Xenopus tropicalis: one gene and its partner. Each later gene encodes a partner of the first gene's protein in a complex. Links are inferred from orthologs where the notes say so. Each region holds a gene or a part of one and is shown in the gene's direction. Other genes may lie near its edges.

Evidence for each region.
Region 2: drc1 (region 1) and efcab2 share a complex: the UniProt entries of both Homo sapiens proteins name them as parts of the nexin-dynein regulatory complex. The link is inferred for Xenopus tropicalis from reciprocal best matches to the Homo sapiens genes DRC1 and DRC8.

Annotation. Positions count from the first base shown.
Region 1 is NC_030681.2:159,570,727-159,578,441, forward strand, and holds the start of drc1 (dynein regulatory complex protein 1), read left to right. Parts: upstream 1-3,174; 5' UTR 3,175-3,227; coding exon 3,228-3,277; intron 3,278-7,715. UniProt on the Homo sapiens protein: Component of the nexin-dynein regulatory complex (N-DRC) a key regulator of ciliary/flagellar motility which maintains the alignment and integrity of the distal axoneme and regulates microtubule sliding in motile axonemes.
Region 2 is NC_030681.2:51,985,059-51,992,730, reverse strand, and holds the start of efcab2 (dynein regulatory complex protein 8), read left to right. Parts: upstream 1-3,208; 5' UTR 3,209-3,266; coding exon 3,267-3,291; intron 3,292-5,068; coding exon 5,069-5,153; intron 5,154-5,527; coding exon 5,528-5,600; intron 5,601-6,728; coding exon 6,729-6,808; intron 6,809-7,228; coding exon 7,229-7,271; intron 7,272-7,354; coding exon 7,355-7,421; intron 7,422-7,525; coding exon 7,526-7,641; 3' UTR 7,642-7,672. Other genes in the region: splicing factor YJU2, read right to left, coding at 366-510, 624-724, 3,063-3,086. UniProt on the Homo sapiens protein: Component of the nexin-dynein regulatory complex (N-DRC), a key regulator of ciliary/flagellar motility which maintains the alignment and integrity of the distal axoneme and regulates microtubule sliding in motile axonemes.

The DNA of each region.
Region 1 (7,715 bases):
ATATAGCGAATGTCATGTATTTATTGATCCCCCCCCACTGTGCTGGGAAAAGACCAATCATACAGTGGCTCATTGATCAACACTGGGCAGATTTGCCCGTGGGTAGTAACCCATAGCAACCAATCAGAAATTGGCTTTTTTTTTTAGCCAGCTGTTTTCATTGCAACAATTTGATTGGTTGCCATGGGTTGCCGCCCATAGGCGAATCTGCCCAGTGTTGATAACTGACCCCCTAAGGTGTTTCTGTGCCTATGGGATGTGTATTAATTCCACCGAACGCACAGCGCCCCACTGTTATTGGCCAGTGTGTGTGTGTGTGCAGTCTGACCCATGTACCCATTAAATTTCTACCTGTATATACCAACGGCTCCGTTGTTATTGCCTCTCTATAGCAACCGAAGGACTGGATTCCTAGCCACAGGGGCAGCCATTCAAAGGAGAAAAGGCACAGTTTACCTAGCAGATAACATAAAACACCATTGTATTCTACAGAGCTTATCTGCTGTGTAACCTCATTTTTTTGGTGTTACCAGGGTCGGACTGGGCTGCCGTGATACCAGGAAAAATCCCGGTGGGCCCCGGCGGCCCAGACCCGACTCTTGTGGCTCCCCCTGCCCGACCGCTCCTCCCCTGATGCGTTAAATTTAAGTGCTCGGGGTCGGACGTCGGGTGGGGGGTTAGGGGGAGACACCTGCGGGGGGGGGGGGTTAGGGGGAGACACCTGCGGGGGGGGGGGGGGGGTTAGGGGGAGACACCTGCGGGGGGGGTTAGGGGGAGACACCTGCGGGGGGGGGTTAGGGGGAGACACCTGCGGGGGGGGGGGTTAGGGGGAGACACCTGCGGGGGGGGGGGTTAGGGGGAGACACCTGCGGGGGGATTGGGGGGGGATACCTGGGGGGGGGTTGGGTGACACCTGCAGGGCCCCTGGGTTGCAGCCCCGTGAGCCCTTCACCCCCGTGAGCCCTTCACCCCCCAGTATGACCCTGGGTGTTACTGTTCCTTTAATTTTCTCTTTTTAGTGGTTGCTGAGATATTTGCTGTTTTAGACTGCTAATAAGCTCTCTCTCAGAAGTCCGTGTGTCAGTGACCAACTATGTTAACCCTCTGGGGCTCATTTACCCACAGAGAGCACTATGGGAAATCCGATTGGCGCCGTGGGTGCATTGATAGATAGCTAAGCATTGATAAATAAGCCCCTCTGATTGGGAGAGGGAACTGCTGAGTTGGCATTAGCAGTCTAAAACGATTTTTAGTAAGTTTACGTGCATTACTTCCCCTTTAAAGCCCAGAGCTAGGAACATTTGTGGTTTTCACCTATTCCTAGCAACGTTGCAATTGGTCCCCATTATTTATTTGTTTGTAGTATTTGAATGATTTGCTCCTGTACAGCTTTCAAATGGGGGTCACTGACCCCAGCAACCAGGAAACTTTTTCGTTCTGATCTTTACAATTTTATTGTTATTGTTACATTATATACCTTGTATTTATATTCAGTTCCTCTCCTAATTATATTCCAGTCTCCCGTTCAATCCACAGCATGGTTGCTAAGGTAAACAAGACCCTAGCAACCAGATAGCTGCTGAAATTCCAAACTGGAGAGCTGCTGAATAAAAAGCTGAATAATTGAAAAAAACACAAAAAATAAAGACCAATTGCAAATTGTCGGATTGAGGACCAATGAGGGAACCTTATGGTGTCGCCACCTTACCCTGATACTGTCGGCCACTCCGCTTCCTTCTTGGTTTATTTACCGCCGCTGCCCCCTGCTGGCTGCTCCTTTAATTGGATTTATTGTTATCGGCACTTCCCTGGATACAGAGGCTGGATTGGTATTAATTAAAGGGGAACTTAATATGAGGCCCCTCCCCAGCTACATCAGCTGGAGTCACAACCAGCAGTGCAGGGAAGGGAGAGGGACAGACACAGTGACAGTTACACATAACTATAAACCCAGTGAGAATGAGGGATGAATGGATATTGGGGAGTTGTATCAGGAGTCAGAACCAGCAGTGCAGGGAAGGGAAAGGGACAGACACAGTGACAGTTACACATAACTATAAACCCAGTGAGAATGAGGAATGAATGGATATTGGGGAGTTGTATCAGGAGTCAGAACCAGCAGTGCAGGGAAGGGAAAGGGACAGACACAGTGACAGTTACACATAACTATAAACCCAGTGAGAATGAGGGATGAATGGATATTGGGGAGTTGTATCAGGAGTCAGAACCAGCAGTGCAGGGAAGGGAAAGGGACAGACACAGTGACAGTTACACATAACTATAAACCCAGTGAGAATGAGGAATGAATGGATATTGGGGAGTTGTATCAGGAGTCAGAACCAGCAGTGCAGGGAAGGGAAAGGGACAGACACAGTGACAGTTACACATAACTATAAACCCAGTGAGAATGAGGGATGAATGGATATTGGGGAGTTGTATCAGGAGTCAGAACCAGCAGTGCAGGGAAGGGAAAGGGACAGACACAGTGACAGTTACACATAACTATAAACCCAGTGAGAATGAGGAATGAATGGATATTGGGGAGTTGTATCAGGAGTCAGAACCAGCAGTGCAGGGAAGGGAGAGGGACAGACACAGTGACAGTTACACATAACTATAAACCCAGTGAGAATGAGGGATGAATGGATATTGGGGAGTTGTATCAGGAGTCAGAACCAGCAGTGCAGGGAAGGGAAAGGGACAGACACAGTGACAGTTACACATAACTATAAACCCAGTGAGAATGAGGGATGAATGGATATTGGGGAGTTGTATCAGGAGTCAGAACCAGCAGTGCAGGGAAGGGAAAGGGACAGACACAGTGACTGGATATTGGGAAGGGGAATTTCTTTCACTCGGCAAACAATGCAGTTATGGGGGGTATTTCCCTATAAGGGGGGGCTAATGCGTTTGTTTCCCCTTTCTCTCAATACCACAGAAATCGTATCTATCGCTCAGCATCTCTTATAAACCGGAGCCGAATCACTGCCTGGTTGCTACGCTACACTGCTCCCTCCCACAGCTTTACAACCCTATTAACCAACCGGTGATAAGCTCCCGCCTACCGACACAACATACAAGCGCGCATAGGCGGATGGAGACGTCAATCTGACAAGGGCTTCGTAACTAAAATACGCTTCCATTGGTCAGAGAGTTCTGACGAGCCTTGCGGGCAGCCTAGTTTTCATTGGTTGAACGGGTTATTCGGTGTCTCTTAGCAACGGGAAATGCTAACAGCGCCACATGACGTACAGGACTCACTGAATCAGCCGCTGAGGTAACTGGGACCGGGGCAATACCGGGGCAACACCGGGGCAATACCGGGGCAACACCGGGGCTGGGCAATACCGGGGCAACACCGGGGCTGGGCAATACCGGGGCAACACCGGGGCAATACCGGGGCAACACCGGGGCAATACCGGGGCAACACCGGGGCAATACCGGGGCAATACCGGGGCAATACCGGGGCAATACCGGGGCAATACCGGGGCAACACCGGGCAATACCGGGGCAACACCGGGGCAATACCGGGGCAATACCGGGGCAACACCGGGGCAATACCGGGGCAATACCGGGGCAACACCGGGGCAATACCGGGGCAATACAGGGGCAATACCGGGGCAATACCGGGGCAACACCGGGGCAATACCGGGGCAATACCGGGGCAACACCGGGGCAATACCGGGGCAACACCGGGGCAATACCGGGGCAATACCGGGGCGGGGCAATACCGGGGCAACACCGGGGCAATACCGGGGCAACACCGGGGCAACACCGGGGCAACACCGGGGCAACACCGGGGCAATACCGGGGCAATACCGGGGCTGGGCAATACCGGGGCAATACCGGGACTGGGCAATACCGGGGCAATACCGGGGCAATACCGGGGGAATACCGGGGCAATACCGGGGCTGGGCAATACCGGGGCAATACCGGGGCAATACCGGGGCTGGGCAATACCGGGGCAATACCGGGGGGCAATACCGGGCAATACCGGGGCTACGGGAATACCGGGGCTGGGCAATACCGGGGCAATACCGGGGCTGGGCAATACCGGGCAATACCGGGGCAATACCGGGGCTGGGCAATACCGGGGCAATACCGGGGCAATACCGGGGCTGGGCAATACGGGGCAATACCGGGCTGGGCAATACGGGCAATACCGGGGCTGGGCAATACCGGGCAATACCGGGACTGGGCAATACGGGGCAATACCGGGGGAATACCGGGGCAATACCGGGGCTGGGCAATACCGGGGCAATACCGGGGCAATACCGGGGCTGGGCAATACCGGGGCATACCGGGACTGGGCAATACCGGGGCAATACCGGGGCAATACCGGGGAATACCGGGGCAATACCGGGACTGGGCAATACCGGGCAATACCGGGGCAATACCGGGGCTGGGCAATACCGGGGCAATACGGGGCTGGGCAATACGGGGCAATACCGGGGCAATACCGGGCAATACCGGGGCTGGGCAATACCGGGGCAATACCGGGGCTGGGCAATACCGGGGCAATACCGGGGCTGGGCAATACCGGGGCAATACGGGGCAATACCAATACCGGGGCAATACCGGGGCAATACCGGGGCTGGGCAATACCGGGCAATACCGGGGCTGGGCAATACCGGGGCAATACCGGGGCTGGGCAATACCGGGGCAATACCGGGGCAATACCGGGCAATACCGGGGCAATACCGGGGCAATACCGGGACTGGGCAATACCGGGGCAATACCGGGGCTGGGCAATACCGGGGCAATACCGGGGCAATACCGGGGCAACAATACGGGGCAATACCGGGGGCAATACCGGGGCAATACCGGGCAATACCGGGGCAATACCGGGGGGCAATACCGGGCAATACCGGGGCAATACCGGGGCTGGGCAATACCGGGGCAATACCGGGGCAATACCGGGACTGGGCAATACCCGGGGCAACCGGGGCAATACCGGGACTGGGCAATACCGGGGCAACACCGGGGCAATACCGGGCTGGGCAATACCGGGGCAATACCGGGGGAATACCGGGGCAATACCGGGGCTGGGCAATACCGGGGCAATACCGGGACTGGGCAATACCCGGGGCAATACCGGGGCTGGGCAATACCGGGGCAATACCGGGGCTGGGCAATACCGGGGCAATACCGGGGCTATACCGGGACTGGGCAATACCGGGACTAGGCAATACCGGGGCAATACCGGGGCAATACCGGGACGGGGGCAATACGGGGCAATACCGGGACTGGGCAATACCGGGGCTGGGCAATACGGGGCAATACCGGGGCAATACCGGGACTGGGCAATACCGGGACTAGGCAATACCGGGGCAATACCGGGCAATACCGGGACCGGGCAATACCGGGCAATACCGGGACTGGGCAATACCGGGGCAATCCGGGGCTGGGCAATACCGGGGCAATACCGGGGCAATACCGGGGCAATACGGGACTGGGCAATACTGGGACTAGGCAATACCGGGGCAATACCGGGGCAATACCGGGACCGGGGCAATACCGGGGCAATACCGGGACTGGGCAATACCGGGGCAATACCGGGACTGGGCAATACCGGGGCAATACCGGGGCAATACCGGGACTGGGCAATACCGGGGCAATACCGGGGCAATACCGGGGCAATACCGGGACTGGGCAATACTGGGGCAATACCGGGACTGGGCAATACCGGGGCAATACCGGGACTGGGCAATCGGGGCAATACCGGGGCAATACCTGGGCAATACCGGGGCAATACCGGGGACTGGGGCAATACCGCCGGGACTGGGCATACCGGGACTGGGCAATACCGGGGACAGGACAGGCCAATACCGGGGACTGGGCAATACCGGGGCAATACCGGGACTGGGCAATACCGGGCAATACCGGGACTGGGCAATACCGGGGCAATACCGGGACTGGGCAATACCGGGACTGGGCAATACCGGGGCAATACCGGGACTGGGCAATACCGGGGCAATACCGGGACTGGGCAATACCGGGGCAATACCGGGACTGGGCAATACCGGGGCAATACCGGGACTGGGCAATACCGGGACTGGGCAATACCGGGGCAATACCGGGGTGCCAGGCAGGGCCAGTGGGGAGGTGCCTGGTACTATTAGCAGTAAAGGGGGCCATATTAATACGAGGGGAAGAGAAGCCCCCACTGCTGATCCCTATGGGGCTGAATTGTATCTGTAGGACTGGTTAATGACTGGTTAATGACTGGTTAATGACTGGTTAATAAGGCCCGGGCAGCTGATGTATCACTGAGAGATGGAGAGAGCAGTAGGTGCCCTGTATTTGCACCAGGGATAAGGAGGCTTTGCTCATAGGAGCTCAGGGCCGCCATCAGAAATCACAAGGCCCCTCACAACAACATTTTCTGTGCCCCCCCTCCTCCCACGCCCCAGTGACCCCTCCCATTAATACAAAGGACACACAGACGTTGGTAGCCAGGGCCCCCTAAAACATTGGTGGTCCTCCCCCAATGTCCTCATACTATGGCCTGCTCTCCGCTGCTTCCTTACTTCCTCCCGCTCCCACCCCGCGTCCTCCCGCATCCTCCAGTTCCTCTCCCCACGTCCTCCTGCATCCTTCAGCTCCCCCCCATGTCTTCCCCCCCCGCACGTCCTCCCACATCCTTCAGCTCCCCCCCACATTCTGCCCCCCCGCACGTCCTCCCACATCCTTCAACTCCCCGGCACGTCTCCCCACCGCAGCGTCTTCCAAGTCTTCCGGCTCCCCCCCAGCATCCTCCTGCTTCCTCCAGGGCCCCCTAAGCATGCTCCAGCTCCCCCCCAGCAACCTCCTGCTTCCTCCAGGGCCCCCCAAGCATCCTCCAGCTCCCCCCCAGCATCCTTCTGCATTCTCCAGGGCCCCCCAAGCATCCTCTAGCTCCCCCCCAGCAACCTCCTGCTTCCTCCAGGGCCCCCAGCATCCTCTTGCTTCCTCCAGGGCCCCCCAAGCATCATCCAGCTCCCCCCAGCTTCCTCCAGGGCCCCCCAAGCATCCTCTAGCTTCCCCCCATCATCATCCTGCTTCCTCCAGGGCCCCCAGCATCCTCTTGCTTCCTCCAGGGCCCCCCCAAGCATCATCCAGCTCCCCCCAGCATCCTCCTGCTTCCTCCAGGGCCCCCCAAGCATCCTCCAGCTTCCCCCCATCATCCTCCTGCTTCCTCCAGGGCCCCCAGCATCCTCTTGCTTCCTCCAGGGCCCCCCAAGCATCATCCAGCTCCCCCCAGCATCCTCCTGCTTCCTCCAGGGCCCCCCAAGCATCCTCCAGCTCCCCCCAGCATCCTCCTGCTTCCTCCAGGGCCCCCCAAGCATCCTCTAGCTCCCCCCAGCATGCTTCTGCGTCCTCCAGGGCCCCCCCAGCATCCTCCTTCTTCCTCCAGGGCCCCCCAAGCATCCACCAGCTCCCCCTCAGCAACCTCCTGCTTCCTCCATTGCCCCCCAAGCATCCTCCAGCTCCCCCCAGCAACCTCCTGCTTCCTCCAGGGCCCCCCCCTAGCATCCTCCAGCTCCCCCCCCCCCAGCAACCTCCTCCTTCCTCCAGGGCCTCCGAAGCATCCTCCAGCTCCCCCCAGCAACCTCCTGCTTCCTCCAGGGCCCTCCAAGCATCATCCAGCTCCCCTACCCCAGCTCCCTGACGTCACACGTACGCACGTGGCGCGACCAATGACTGGGCCCGGAGTTGATTAAAGGGGGCCCAAG
Region 2 (7,672 bases), about 110 Mb from region 1:
GTAGGTCATGGCCATTTATAAGGATATTTTGTACAGGAGATTAACGGCCCTTGTGTATTATTATAAATAAATATATATGTGTGTGTGTCCATAGTCAGTCTAGCCTTGGGTACACGGTCAATATGTAATATAAAGCTTTCAGAAGGACCAGAACTCCATTCTTGAATTATACTGTTTTATTTAACACCACTTTGAATCCAACGTTTTGGCCCACATTAGAGCCTTTATCAAGCATGCTTCTATCGTACTACTTTAGGATCCTTGATAAAAGTCCATATACACAGTGATGTTAAAACTTTATAATTCATTAACTGGAGTGCTGGTCCTTCAAAAATATCCTCCAAATATAAGGTTTACTTTATTACCTTAAAAGTGATCTCAGCTAGGCAACGTGTACACTTAATATAGAAACGGAAAATAGGGAGCCCCAGATACAGTTCATTTTGCACAGTTTCTTTTCTAGCATTGAACTTCTTCCCCTTGTAAATATACTCTCCACAAGTCTTACACCTGCAAAGACATTGACGAAGAAATAAAATTACTTACTCTGGACAATTCGATGAAAAACAGTATAAAAAATATTTCAGTGGGTTACTCCTTAAACACCACTCACATGCACTCACCTCATATTAAATGGTGCCATCAGACGAACCACATACTGGCGATCTTTTGGAAGCTTTAACTTTGGGATTTTAGATGGATCAAAATCTGGAGGGTAATATTTCTAAAACAGATAAAAAGTTAAAATGAAATCATTTTATAACAATAAGAGCAAATAATTTATAATTATTTATAACAGTAAACAATTTATAGGCTCGATAAATGAATGATTGGTTGCCTTAGAAGATAACCTGAAAAATATATATGATATCACCATATATGGAAGGATGCAGAGCTCTGACAGCCTCCCTATGGTAAACATTGTGGACGTTGGGGGAAAAACAATGCCAAAGACTGCAAATGCTTTACACAGCATACAAGTAAGTCCTTGGAATATTAAGTACGTTCAAATACAGCTGATGTACTGCATGCATATATCGACCACTAGTACTATGTTTCCAGAAAAAAATGTCAATATATTTCAGTGAAATAAAATCAAACGCTTTGATTAAAAGCTTATTATAAAATAGTTAACTGGAAAATATGTATAAACTTAAATTTATTATTTGTAAAAGAAAAATGCACGAACGGTCCATAATGGAGAAGGACCTCAGAGTCTTTGTAGATAATAAACTTGGCTGTAGCAAGCAATGCCAGGCAGCAGCTGCAAGGTTTTGAGCTGTATCAAAAGGTGCATAGCTTCACGGGAGGAGGGGGTTATTCTTCCCCTTTACAGAGCGCTGGTAAGGCCCCATCTAGAATATGCTGTTCAATTTTGGTCTCCAGTGCTCAAACGGGGCATTATTGAATTAGAGAGGGTCCAGAGAAGGGCAGCTTAGATTGTTAAGCGTATGGAAAGTCTCAGTTATGAAGAAAGACTAGCAAAGTTCGGTCTGTTTACACTGGAGATGAGGCACAGAGGTGACATGATAACTATGTATAAATATATAAGGGGATCATATAATAACCTCTCTAAAGCTTTATTTACCAGTAGGTCCTTCTAACTGACACAAGGGCACCCACTCCATTTAGAAGAAAGGAGGTTCTGTTTAAATATTCGGAAAGGATTTTTTTACTGTGAGAGCTGTGAAGTTGTGGAATTCCATACTTGAACCACTCCTACTGGCTGATACATTAGTTATCTTCAAGAAGGGGTTGGATGGCTTTTTAGCAAGTGAGGGAATACAGGGTTATGGGAGATAGCTCTTAGTACAAGTTGATCCAGGGACTGGTCCGATTGCCATCTTGGAGTCAGGAAAGAATTTTTCCCCCTCTGCAGCAAATTAGAGAGGCTTCAGATGGGGTTTTGTGCCTTCCACTGGATCAACTAGCAGTTATGCAAGTTATATATAAGCATTACGTTTAACTTGGTGGCCATATGTCCTTTTTCAACCTAACTTACTATGTTATTATGTGTCATCTATATCAGTGGTACCTAAACTGACCAAGTGGCTAGGGGGACCAAGTCTGCAAGCCAGTTAGTGTAAGACCTAAGATCTAAGGGTAAGGCCTAGATCTTCCTCAGTTAAGTGACAATTTATTTCCTGGATACTCATGGCTGATACAGCAGTGTCTTCATATATCTGTACATATATAGGTGTCATTACATATAGCAAGAAATGTAAGAATTCATAAGCTGGGCTTTTAATTACAGTTTACATCTTCATAACATAGACATCAAAGTACCTTCAGCATGTTTTTTAACGTGACCCTGACAACTGATATTAGTAGTACGCACTATAAACTGACTATATTCTGTGTTAACCAGTTTCCAGTGCCATCGCTGTTAGCTCTAGGCCCATATCATACAAACCATTTTGCTACACAGGGGACATGCTGATTTAGCTGCCCCATGTGTAATCCGCCTGTTACTGCACACTAGCCAGATTTTGCCAGAGAACGTTTATTATGATTATAATAGTTATGCATTTTAGCTGAACTCTGCACGTATGTGGAATGACCAAGCTTTTTAAACAAGATGCTTCTGGCATAGGAAGCAAGATTTGTCTTGCTTTAAATGTACAATATAATAATTGAATTTCATACTGGTGACCTTGCAGCCTACCCCTGAAGCTGACAGAGTGGAATGCTGGAACTACTGACCCAGCAGAGTTGTCTTCACTTCAGCCTTTACTACTTTGATAACTTCTCTTAGTATTAATTATATAACATGTAACATATGTAATATCCCTCATACGTAATAAAAGTTACAAGTATGCCAGGGTGAAGAAAGCCATATTTTGCGTTAAAAAAAAGTGACCAGCAAATGCTACTTGCTGATTGGTTGCATTAGGTAACAAGTCATGTACAGAATTTTGCACCTTTTATAACACAATCCTCAGAGTTTTTACTGACGCACCACGTCTTTATTAGTGAGTGCTGTTTACATATCTTCAACCGGTCTATCCCTTAACCAAGCGCCTCCTGTCCCTTTCCCCAAGTCCCTTCTTACTATTACGTACATTTAAGACTTTCCGCTCAGACATTGTTACTCTTCACTCCTCTGTAGCTGTATTTTCCAAATGGCGCAGATCAATGACGTCACGCTCCAGCCGCTCGCAGGAACAAGCAGCTAGGAAGTGTTTTATATTCACGCACGTCATCTCAGCGCCACCAGGTGGTCAAATGACTTGGGTTGTGCAGTCACCTAGCAACCAGATACAAAAATGACTGATGAGAAGGAGGCCGCTGGTAAGTTAATGCTCCATAACAAAATGTAAAAAACAGATAAAAATAGCGAGACGAGGAGAGGGAAGGAGAAGGGGAAATTAACAGAGACTTGGTCTGAACCCTGTTAGAAAATCAATAGAAACGAGTAAAGTACATTCTACAAATAATCGCCTGTTCATCTTTATGGGTGACTAAAATACTGGGTGCATTTTAGATAGAGTATCAATTAACCTATTGGTACAATTTGGAATAGAATTTTAGTATTGATATACTGCAGGCAGCAGAATGTGCTATAATCCTAGGCAGGGCTGCCATCAGAACTCACAGGCCCCATACAACACAATTAGCAGGATCTGTTGTCCAGCCAGTGGGCATCTAAGCTTTTGTTCGATCAGTACATCAGACCTAGTGAAGTGAAGGGGGGGAATCAAAGGCAAGGGATTATATTTATGTTAAACAAAAAAAAAACCTGTATGGATTTTTTTAATAAATTTATATTAAAAAATATTGTCTTTTTCATAAAGAACCTGGCACCATAAGGGCTCTTAGATTTTTCACTTTACTTCCCCTTAAAAAATGTACTGCAATTCCCATTCTCTGATAACGTAAGGGGGCCGTGCAGGTGTAGGTATGTAGGTGTGTACCTAAGGATATCCTAAAATTGTACTGATCACACCAGTCACATCCCTGTTACTAGGATTGGCTTCTGTGCAAGATAGTTATAATCAAAACTTTGGAATTTAGCACCCATTACTATTATACCTCATCTCAATACTGTTGGCTAAAAACAAACCCTGAAATGTAAGCAAGAGACAATGAGCTACTATAAGTTGCTGTAATGAAGTAAGTTATTCTGATCAGTGCAAGATATAGGAAAACTGTAAAAGTAATAAATGCAAAAAAAAGCACCAAATTACATTTTTAATGTGTGTTAAAAAAGCTAGTAGCTTATGTTCTGTTTTCTATCCATTATAGTCAGTGCCAAAGCCAATTAATCCATTTCCTTAATTCAAGCGTTTAGGTTATGGTGTGAACAGACATACTGTATATGAGCAACAGAGAATACCACCGTACAGGGCAGCCTTGAGGGCAAATAGTTGTCCTGGTGTTTTTTATGGTCATAGGAGCGCAGGCCACGCTGCACTTGGATTACCAGGGCCCCCTGCAGTCAGTGACCAGCAGCCTTCAGAACACAGGACTAGCGCTCCAGTGCCAGCTTCTTATTATCTCATACAGCTTTCTGTAAGCTCATTTGCCAATAAAGTTTAAGTCCCGGAAAAGGTGCATGGTGATTGAATGGGCTGGAAGGGACCCATCCAATCCCCATGCAGAATTACCAGGATTTAGAGTTCTGTGGTAAATGAGCAGTAAAGGAGATACAGGCACCCAGGTTCCTGTCCTTTGCTACCCGATTCTGCAGCTCTCACAGCAGCACGGCCGGGCCCCCCTTAAACCTCAAAACCCACCGGGCCCAGGACTGTCCTCCCTGGCGGCGGCCCTGGTTCTAAGGCTGTTTCAGCGCAATCTGAGAATAGGCAATGCACCACCATTCTCTTTCTGAACCTGTGTGTGCACTGACAGGCATGTGACATATAAATATATGTATTTTCATGCCAAAATCTTTGTGTGTGCTAAAGAGGTGATCCGTTGCACTTGAAGTGGTGACAGATGGTTCTCCACACAGATGGAGCTCAAATAGTCATATTAGTAATGGAAACAGTGTATAACTGTAAAGCATGTCACTATGCCTGCTAATCCATTAATGCATCTAATTATTTTCTTACACATATTTTTTCAGAATCTCTAGTGACAGATTTACAGAAAAAAATTACAGAAGCCTTTGAGGTTTTTGACCATGAATGTAACAAAACTGTTGATGTCAGGTAAACATAACATTTTCCCTGTAGTTTTTTTTTGTAGAATGCTGGGTAAACAGGAGAAAGACAGCTGTACAAGCTTTCAGTTCCTAAAGCTGCCATTTTTATTATTTAATGCAATCTCAAAAGTGTGTGTGCTTTGGTAATCATTTTCTTTGTATTGTGTAAAAAAAAACAACACACTAAACAAGCAAAACCTTACTTTGTCAAGAGTTCTCATTAAAAAAAGTATACAATATGCACATTATTTATTTTATTTATTATTTTTTAAAGCTATTAGACTAATTAAGATTTTTTTTACATTAACAGGATATAAAAGCTAACCCTAACCCTGTTTTATTTTAAAGTTTCATGCATTAACTGTGCTACTTTTGTAACAGAGAGATTGGAACAATCATAAGGTCTTTAGAATGTTGCCCAACAGAAGGCGAACTCCATGATATGATTGCAGAGGTAAGGTTTTAAAAACAAGTTAAAGAGTACAGAACTATATGCACTTATTGTGCCCATATCAATAAAAACTGAAAAATTGCAGCTGTAAAAGTAAAAATATTTTTATATTTATTCTGACCTATTATTGCCTAAGAAGAGATAAAACCTTTGTATGTCTTATCTTGCTGTGTAAAATAACTCCCACGTTTAAGATGTAGCTGAGAAAGTTTTTGCCTGTTAAAGGCAACAAGAATTCTGCGAGTCTTTGTTAGCATGTTCAGCCAATAGAGGGCACTGTTTTATTAAAGTCTGTTTCTAAAATGTTACATTTTCTAAACAAAAAATAGTATGGCAACTCTGAGCAACTATAAATGAACATCAATATATAGACACATTAGGCATCCTATACAAAATATACCAGTTTTCATTAACATTTAAAGGAGAAGGAAAGGTAAAAACTAAGTAAGCTTTATCAGAAAGCTCTATGTTAATACAGCCATAAGCACTCACAGAAACACTGCACTGAGTCCTCATCAAAAGAAACACATGATTTATTGTCTCCTTTTTTGTAAACATGGTCTAAGAGTGTATGACTTCCTCTCTCAGAAAAATCCTTCATTCCAGGGGCCAGAGTCTGCACAGTTCTCTCCTCTCTCCTGCTCTCCCCTCCCATAAGAATTCATGAAACTGACTCCCCCCACCCTTAGGAATGTGTAATCTGAGCTATAGCGGCTAAACTGCAAGCAGGAAGCTATGAAGACCAAGCTAAAATGGCAGCTGCTGTCTTAAACAAACAGAGAAAGCTTCTAGGGCTCTTTACTCAGTTATGGTAATGCTTTCTGCAGAATAAATATAGCATTCTAGGTGGCACTAATGTGGCGAATCTATTGGCAGTAAAATGCCAAACTGACTTTCCTTCTCCTTTAAATGTAAAGTTTTTTCTTAACTAAATACTCTGCATCACATTATTTGCTAAAAATATAGCCATGTGTTTTGTGATTTTGAACGCAATAAACCTTGCTGTCCCATGGAATGTAATTATGACAGGAAATATTTTTTTTAAATAAAATTGATTTATTATTTTTACATTTCTTAATCTCTTTTTTCAAATATGGTTTATTATTTACATTTATATTCCTTGCCTTTTAGGTAGAAGAAGAAGAACCTACAGGGTACATTCGTTTTGAAAAATTCCTCCCCATGATGACTAAGGCATTAATGGAGAGAAGGTATACATTTCATTAGGTGCTTTCATGTGCTTTACACCAGCTTTATGGTGGCATTAGGTAAAGGGTGTCTTGGCACAGCCATTAGCCTAATGTCTTCGTATTTGCAGACCCAAAACAATACTTCAGTTATGACAAGGGTGCAATCCTCTGATGAATATATTATATATGTGGGGGAATGGTTGGATGCATACTGTATGTTTTAGATTCAGTTAGAACTGCACTGGACTGTAATCCTGGGCCCCCTCCCCACAGGAGCTGCTGTGTATGGTTTTTACACTCCTCTCTAGAGTTTATTTTTCTGCTGATTTATATAAAGATACCTGCCAAACTGATTAAGATGTAGAAAGAAAAACTTGTTTTTTAATTGTTGTACATGATGCAAATTTAGGTCTTTCTATAATTTTCCTTTGTGGTTTGCAGGTATAGACCCATTCCTGAAGATATTCTTCTCCGAGCCTTTGAGGTTGGTGTTTTATTGTTATGTTTTAATAGGCAATAAAGAGTGTTACCAGGCAGAGCTAATCAGCTCTATTTACTAATTTCCAGGTTTTAGATGAAAAGAAAAAGGGATACCTCACTAGAGAAGAACTTGTCAAATATATGACTGAAGAAGGTACAGTTATACACAAAGTGTTTATTTTGAGACAGTGCTAATCTAGAAATAAATATTTTTGAATCATGAAACACTTGCACAGACTGTGTGTCTTATTGTCTCAGGTGAACCATTCACACAAGAGGAGATGGAAGAGATGGTGTCAGCTGCAGTGGATCCAGAGAAGAATGTTGTTCCATACAGAGAGTATGCTGCAATGATGACCATTGATGATTATTGATAATAAGTCAGTTTAAAAAAAACAGGAGGCA